2 linked regions of the Coturnix japonica genome follow. The protein of the gene in region 2 interacts with the protein of the main gene of each other region in a pairwise test. Links are inferred from orthologs where the notes say so. Each region holds a gene or a part of one and is shown on either strand. Other genes may lie near its edges. The genes, in order: RHOJ and PAK1.

Region 1 (3,825 bases), on a different chromosome or scaffold from region 2:
CACAACATGAGCTCCTTCACCAAGCTCAGCTCTATCCTCGCCCCGAGCTGTGTTGTGTCAGCCAATCCATTTCTCTGGGACATGATAGAAGATATGCACAATGATTGCCAGCAGTAAAGAAGCCTCTCTTTTGTATAGCTATTCATTAGCATAATTTTAGCTGTTGTCCATGCTTGCGTGCAGCACAAGAGGTGGTGGGTGGCACTGACCTCAAGATTGGCCAGTTTTGATTGATCTCTACTGGAAATGTTTTGTGTCTGATCTGGTTTCTGTCAGTGTCTGTGGTAAATAGAATTTGTGCTCGAGTGAAAACAGGAGCTTGGATCCGTCATCTTCCATGGGTGAAGGATGGGGCACTGCATCATGATTGTTCTCTTCTGTTTGCTGCTTAGTTCGAGTCAACACACCGGATAGAGATTCTGCTGTTGCAAGGAGTTGTATTAGAGGTCTCTGTATTTTCTGCCTTGATGATTTTCTGCTTGGGGAACAAAATCCACAAGACAACCTCATGGCATTGCCATTGTTCCCAAAGGCAGATGCCCTTTGAACTCACCTCTGAGCATTGGTGTTGCTGTGAGATACAGAAATACAGGCTTCCCAGATTGGCTTTAGGGGAAAGGCACAATTTTTCCAGTAGCACAGGGAGTTTATGGGCAGCTTGTGCTCCCTCAGGGTCTTCCCACTCCCATGCTAAGGACTGCAGCCCATCTTCTGAGTCCACTGCTGAGAACTATGACTCTGTTAAGTCTTAAGTCTTAGCACAGTGAGGCTGTGGAAGAGTGAAGCAAAGTAATGAATAAGAGGAGGGGACCACAGGAAATCACAATGATCATAATTCTGCTTTGATAAGATTTTTACATGAGATACTCTAAAAAAATCATAAGGCACTTGGATCATCCTAAAGTACTTGAGATCAGTGTGACCTTTGGCTTTTTGGCTTTCGCTATTTTTGTCTGCTGGGTGTGATGTAGAAATCCAGCTGATCTATAAGGTAATTTTTCAGTTGCCATGGCAATGTGTCTCTTTCATGTTCTCAGTTTGGAAAGGTGATTGTTCCAAGCTGGTATTTCATGTCCAGGACAATATTTGGTGGCAGAATATCTTTGTCTCAATACACAAACACTACAACTCTGTTCCTCCTTTTCCAGCTTACGGAAACATGGCTCAGCCTGAATATTCCCTTGTACAAATAGAGCTACTTGCATTTCTTTTCGTTTTAGAACATTCCTTAAGTCTGGAGGTAAATGTTGATCTGTTTTGATAGCTTGGGTGCAGCAACATGCTGACGCTGTGAAGTTTCACCGCTAAGTGAAGACAAACTGGAATCGCTCCGCCTTTGCTTCTATGCAGATTGAACAAACGGAAGTATATCCTGAAGTAATGAGTTTTATAAAAGAAAAGTAATTCAAAAGTACATCCTACCTATCGTGTATATCTTACATAGTAGATTTCTACAGATCTCCACGTTCTTTCAGTCAGTTCAGATTAAATTCCTAAGTACTGCAAATTCTTAATTTTGATCAGTTCTTGCTTAAGGCCACAAATGGAGTTTGCTCTGTTTCTTTCATCCCTTTATTTTTTTAGGTTTTTTTTTTTTTTTTTAATTTTTGCTACTCAGTGCCTTCTTATTCCTAGGGTGAAGAAGAATCAAGCAGGAGCCGGCATCCTTGTTCCTGTTGGCTCAGCACAGTCTGCAGTGGTGGGAACAGACTGCATACAACTCTGAGGGTTTTGGAGTGCACAGAGACAAGAGTTGGCCTATTGTGATACAGCTTGGAGGTTTCACAGAAAGGAGGGTTCCTATTTAGGTAAAAAGGACCCTTTTCTGGTCATGTTCCCCTTTTCAGTTGTATATGACCTTCATTGCCTTTCTAACCTGCTTGGTTTCATTGAACTCATCTCACTTTCCTTTCTAAGTGACTTCATAGAATGGTGCAGCATCTGTGGCACTTTGCACAGTGCTTCTTCTTCTTCTTGGGGTGGAAGATGGTCAGGATTGCTTCATCAAAGACAGTCTTAAGGCCTTTCTGTGTGAGGGCTGAGCACTCCAAGTAGCATTGTGCTCCAATCTGTAAAAAGAGAGAGAAAGTGTGAGTACCCACTGTCTGGAGAGGTACAGAGACCCTGCTTCAGCATCCTTCTGTGTGTATATTGTCCTGATCTTCAGAAAGAGGGGTGAGGACCACTGCTTTGTATCTGGCTGCCTACAGAATTGAGGGCCAACCCCAGTGATCATCCTGAGTGAGAGAGTACCAAGTGTTGGCTAATTTATCATTGCAAAAAAGATATGTTCTTCTCTCCCTATGTTCTGGTTACCAAGCATGAGTAAATGATGAGATGCAGTGAAATGAAAAGTAGGGATATTAGTTGCTCTTGAAACACATTTCCCATTTGTTTAGGAAATGGGCTGCAATGTTCTTGTTATCTATCACTGGCTAGAGGGACTGAGATGTGGCTCAAGACTTCTTAGCAGTATAAACACCCCAGGATGAATAACCAGCAGGTCTGCTAGTGGAAAAGAAGTGGTGAAAGAGGTGGACTTGGTATGAGGGTGCCAGAAAGGCAGCTTTTAATTGCTACTAGCTGAAGTAGTCAGTAAAATGTGTTTTGTTGCCCCTTTCCCCACTATTGCTTTGCCTGGAGATAGGTTGGGTGTTGCAGCAAAGCAGTGGGCTCAGGAGCCAAAATCTGTTTCTACTTCCAGGGTGTTTGATATATGTCTGGGAACAACCAACGATCTGTGCTAAGAGTTTGCCTTGAATGAATGAAACCCAATGGAAATCTGCAATCCATTGATTTCATGGGACTCCAATAAGCTGTCACCTCCTTCGCCAGCTTCACGCCATGCTCATAGGTGAGTGGTTTCTCCTTCATGTAAAGCAGACGAGCCAAAGTTTTGGGATCATCTCGCAGGTCAATCTAGTAGAAAACACACAAAGCCCAGGCTCAGTACTGCCTTAGTGTAATTATCAAAAGGTATATTCATAGGTATGCAAACCCATAGTCACATCCCTGCACAAGGATGTCTGTCCTCACAGCCTCAGGTGAGAACACAGAAATGAATTACATATGTATTTTCCTTTCTTTCTTCCTCTCTTTTAAAATTTTCTGTTTAATATGGCTTAGTTTTTATTGGACAGTTATCAGGCTACAGCTCAGATGGCTGCAGCATAGTACAGATGCATTTCTCAGTGGCTTTCACAATACATCATGGAAAGGGTCGTTAGAAGCCCAAGCCACACTGGAAAGGGAGTCTGCTGTGATCCTGCACTGCATCACCTGTAAAACACAGTGACAGACCAGACAAACACAGCTCTGGATGGCTGACTTGAAGCAAAATCCTTTATTTCCATGGAAAATATTAAAGTGAAACATTCTGGCATTAGAAAACTACCTATTTTCAGAGTGTATGTTATCCAAAGCAGTGTTATCCAAGGGACAACTGCTGTTTAAGAGTATTCCAGTGTGGGAAACTAAGCCAGTGTTTGAATAACTGGACTTTCCTATGGCATGAGGAGTTTATTTTTGCTTAGAATTTGATCTCTTTCTCTAATTTGGTTTAGGTTACTGCCCAGTGTTTTCCTGACTTTAGCTTCACTGCAGCTCATGGTCTCTGTCCAGTCTGTGTCTTGGAAACCCACAGGTTCATAGGTTTTAAGGCTGAAACAAAGAGCTTTGATCGTTCAGTCTAACGTCCCCTAAAGCACAGGTGGGATGGTGAGTCAGTAATTGTAATGTTGATGTAAAGCATGCGGGAGGCCATTTCCTTCCTATGACTCTAAGTAGTTTGGCTAATTATTCTCTTTCTTACAATTGAGCTTGAAT
Region 2 (3,825 bases):
TTAATCTGAATCTCTCTTCTCTTAGTGTAAAATCATTCCCTCTTCTTGTATCACTATCAGACCATGTTAAAAGTCTGTCACTCTCCTGTTTATAAGCTTCCTTTAAGTACTGGCAGGCTGCAATGAGGTCCCCCCAGAGCCTTCTCTTCTCTAGACTGAAAAAGGAAGACAGCTTTCTGCATTCACAGCAGCAGTTAATGCTCTCCCCACAACCTTACAGTTTCTTGCAACCACTTCCGACAGATTCTCAACTGTCTGCATTTCTCCTGACTCTCAATAACTCTTGCTAAAATCACTCTGCCTTAGATATAACGTTACAGCCAGTGAATCCACAAATGTTTTCTTGTATACTTTATTAAATCTGCCTGAATGCCTCTTTCAGGGTTTTGCAGTGCCCAGATTGAATTAGAGCCTCATGTGAATGCACATGAAGGTGGCACATGAATTCAGAAGCATTCCTCCAAAATTCTCAGAAGACAATGCTTTCCACAAGCTCTTGTTGCAAAATCTAACAGACCTACAAGCCTAAATGCATTCAAACATTAATAATTGCTTTCTGTGGTAGAGATGTATTACATGGTAGGAGGCATATAACTGAAAAGAACTAAAGAGATGGGCACTCAGTCTCGCTGAACATGTACTCCCCATCTATAGTGATCACGTTATCCATGTAGTGGGTCAAAAAGCCCCGAAGATGCAAGATACCCACACAACTGCAGCAGTGAAACCAGCATGGAAAGGGCTCATAGACACTATACATCATTACTTCGTGGTACTACTCTGGCTCTTTGTGAATCAGCAGCAGAGCTCAGCAAACACCAGCAGAACAAAATGTGCCATGTTTGCCTGGTTCATACACCCCAAGAAGTGACTGAAACCAGAAAGACTTGAATGGTCACAGCTCCTGCTAATATGATATCACGGGAGCATGCATTTGGAGAGGTTCCATCCAGTATTAAAGTTAAGGGTTAGGCTGGGACAGGGGACATTAGAACTACACCTTCCAATTGCAGAGAGAACATGGCACTTCCAAAGCAGCCTGGTAAGGAGCAGTTAAGCAGCAGGAGAGAATTTAGTTGTCATCTGAGATCAGAAAAACGTTCCTAAGGTGAAAATCAGCCAATAAGAAGTGGAGGTGATGGTGTTAAAGCTAATTTTTGCTTGACAAGAATTGTAGGACAGAAGCAGTCGTTCTAGTTTGGGCAGATGCATTGCAACAGAAGGCTCTGTTGGGCTTGGCTAGACAAAAATCTCTCATGTCTGAAAGCATCTGCCATGTTGGCCAAACTTCAGGATGTGCAGGCTTAAAGCTTAATATCAGTGGTAGTATCTCTTTTACCTGAGCTGTTTACCATTTCAGTTACCATATCTCCTTTATATTCTACAGTATTTAATGTCATGTTTATTTTCATCTTCAACATTTCAGGTTATTTCTTTGTTTTCTGCAACTGTTGAGCCTAAAGGTCTTACAAACACTCTGCTGACACCAAAATCTTACAGTTCTTCAGGATTAATACACATAAAGGCAAGTTCTAACCAGTATCCTGCAAATGTTTAATAGAGTTCACGGGTTCCTGGGTTGCAGAATTAAAAAATCAATGGCTATAAACGAATCCAAGTTCTCCCTGAACTTCTATCTCTGTGATTTAAATTAGCACACCAATTAGACTTTGTTCTGTAACAAAAAATCAAGGAGGCAGCTTCCTTCATGAAGGCAAGCAAGTTGCAGGTACTTAAGACTTTCAGTTATCCAATGTCCAGACACCATTGCAATGCAGACTCTGATGTACTAGAAAGAGAAGTCCAAAAAAAAATAAATAGGTCAGATATAAAAAGGAATCAGTAGATACTTCAGGATAGAGATTTTTTTTTCTTATATTACTTTAAGATTCATGAGAGAGTTTGGAAATTATCGACATCATTATGATTTAGAATTTCAATTCACAGCTTCTCTCTCCATTTCCATCTGTTACGGTGTCTGCAACAGGAGACAATTCCTTCCCTTCACAAGAAACGTGCAAGAATTTGTGGTGAGAAATTGTTTGTAACAGCAAGTAGAAAAATCATGACACAAAATCTAGAATAAATGAGAAATTACACCTTCGACTGTAAGCTTGTTACAGCAGACCATGCAGTAACATGTGACAGTCCTGGCAGGAAATGGACTGTTACTCATGCTTTACACATACTTGCTGTAACAAGAAACAGGCAAAAAGCTTCCCCTTCCCCACCAAAGGAACTGACAATTGCAGCTTTAACTCATCAGCTTGTAACTGGGAACACAAGGTTTATATGATTTTCAAAATCATTATGGATAAGTCATGCTAGGAGCTGGCAGAGCTTGTCCCGTCTTTTAGGGATGCTGTTCTCATAATTAAAGGGGAAGAAAAGCACAAAAGCAGATTAAGAGGGATAGATTAATTGTGGTAGAATTAATCATTAGGATAAGAAAACAGAACTAGAGCCAGCATCACATATACCCCAAAATGACAACAACAGCTATGCAAGAAATGAACATGAGCCATCTTCCAAACCATCGTTAAGCAACAGCCATCCAGAGCAAAACTGAGACATAAGTTTTATAAGGAAAGCCACAATACTGTACTTTTATCTCCTGGTAAAATAGATCGGTAAAATCGGTCCCTCTTCTTTTTTTCTTCTGGGTTGGGTGGCAAAGGTTTTGAGCCATGGTTTAAAGTCCCGGTGTCTTTGCTTCCTGATCCAATCATAGTGCTGGTATTTCTCATCGGAGGAGCAGGTGGTTTGTCTTCTGTTTCAACTCCATTGTTAGACATCTTCAGATGTAGAGGCCGTTACTAGCAAAGGAGGAAGAAAAAGAAGTAAGAAGCTTTGTGGTTTGTTGAGTTAGAGTTGGGTTTTTTTTGTAAATTAGAATCACATGCTGTCAAATAAACCACACACAGGTATTTTCAGACAAACGTGCAGCCTCACACCAATGCAAAGCGTCAGCACACATTCCACTTGAGATCCCAATCATTTCTATTATATTGAAGAGTTTCAGTTACTAATTATCACAAAAAGCTTGTTTGCGGGGTACAGCCAGACCTCAAGTATAACATGAAGCAGAAGTGTAGGGTGAGGGTGAGCAGAAAAAGCAGCAAATCCCAGGTAGCAGAGAGCAGGGATATCTGACAGCAGCCAACATAATCTTACAACCATTGAGGCCGGAAGACTCTAAGACCATCAAGTCCAACTGCCAACCCATTTCCACTATGTCCACTAACCACATATCCACAGTTCTTGAACTCCTCCAAGAACAGCGAATCCACCATCTATGACAAATACTTTGTCAGAAATACCTTCTTCCAAATAAGACCTCTCGGATCCATTCTAGCTCTGCCAAAATCTGCCTCAACAGGTTTGCATCAACCTCCAGCTCAGGCAGTAACATGATGCACAGGGACTGAAGTTTGCAATCAAAGAGCATGGATACAGCCACTCAGGCTCCATCACTGAAAATGCATTGAAATGCACCAGAGGGAGATGGGCAGAAAGCATCAGTGTTGCATCCGTGTCACCTCCATGTCAAGTCCTGCAGTGTTTGCTGGGCCCCGGCCTTCCTGCCATAGCAGCATACTTGAAGCACAATTCAGACAGCCAGAACACTGATCCTCAATATACACATTAATCTCTAAGTAAATAAACCCTGCTGTGAGGATTTAAAGACGGAAGCTTGTGAACTGGGTAATAGATTCCTCTGCAGCAACCAGCTTGTTCCACCCAAATGAGATCAGCCTGACTTCAGAAGTCAGGTTGCAGAGAGATCCTTCCAGAGACTGAAATTCACTTGCATGATTCTCTCAA

The links.
Region 1: the proteins of PAK1 (region 2) and RHOJ interact in binary tests that used the Homo sapiens proteins (3 or more experiments, as listed by UniProt). The link is inferred for Coturnix japonica from reciprocal best matches to the Homo sapiens genes PAK1 and RHOJ.

What each region holds. Positions count from the first base shown.
Region 1 is NC_029520.1:48,567,834-48,571,658, forward strand, and holds part of RHOJ (rho-related GTP-binding protein RhoJ), read right to left. Parts: intron 2,920-3,825; coding exon 2,824-2,919; intron 2,070-2,823; coding exon 1,923-2,069; 3' UTR 1-1,922.
Region 2 is NC_029516.1:172,845,815-172,849,639, reverse strand, and holds part of PAK1 (serine/threonine-protein kinase PAK 1), read right to left. Parts: intron 2,817-3,825; 5' UTR 2,796-2,816; coding exon 2,606-2,795; intron 1-2,605. UniProt on the Homo sapiens protein: Protein kinase involved in intracellular signaling pathways downstream of integrins and receptor-type kinases that plays an important role in cytoskeleton dynamics, in cell adhesion, migration, proliferation, apoptosis, mitosis, and in vesicle-mediated transport processes.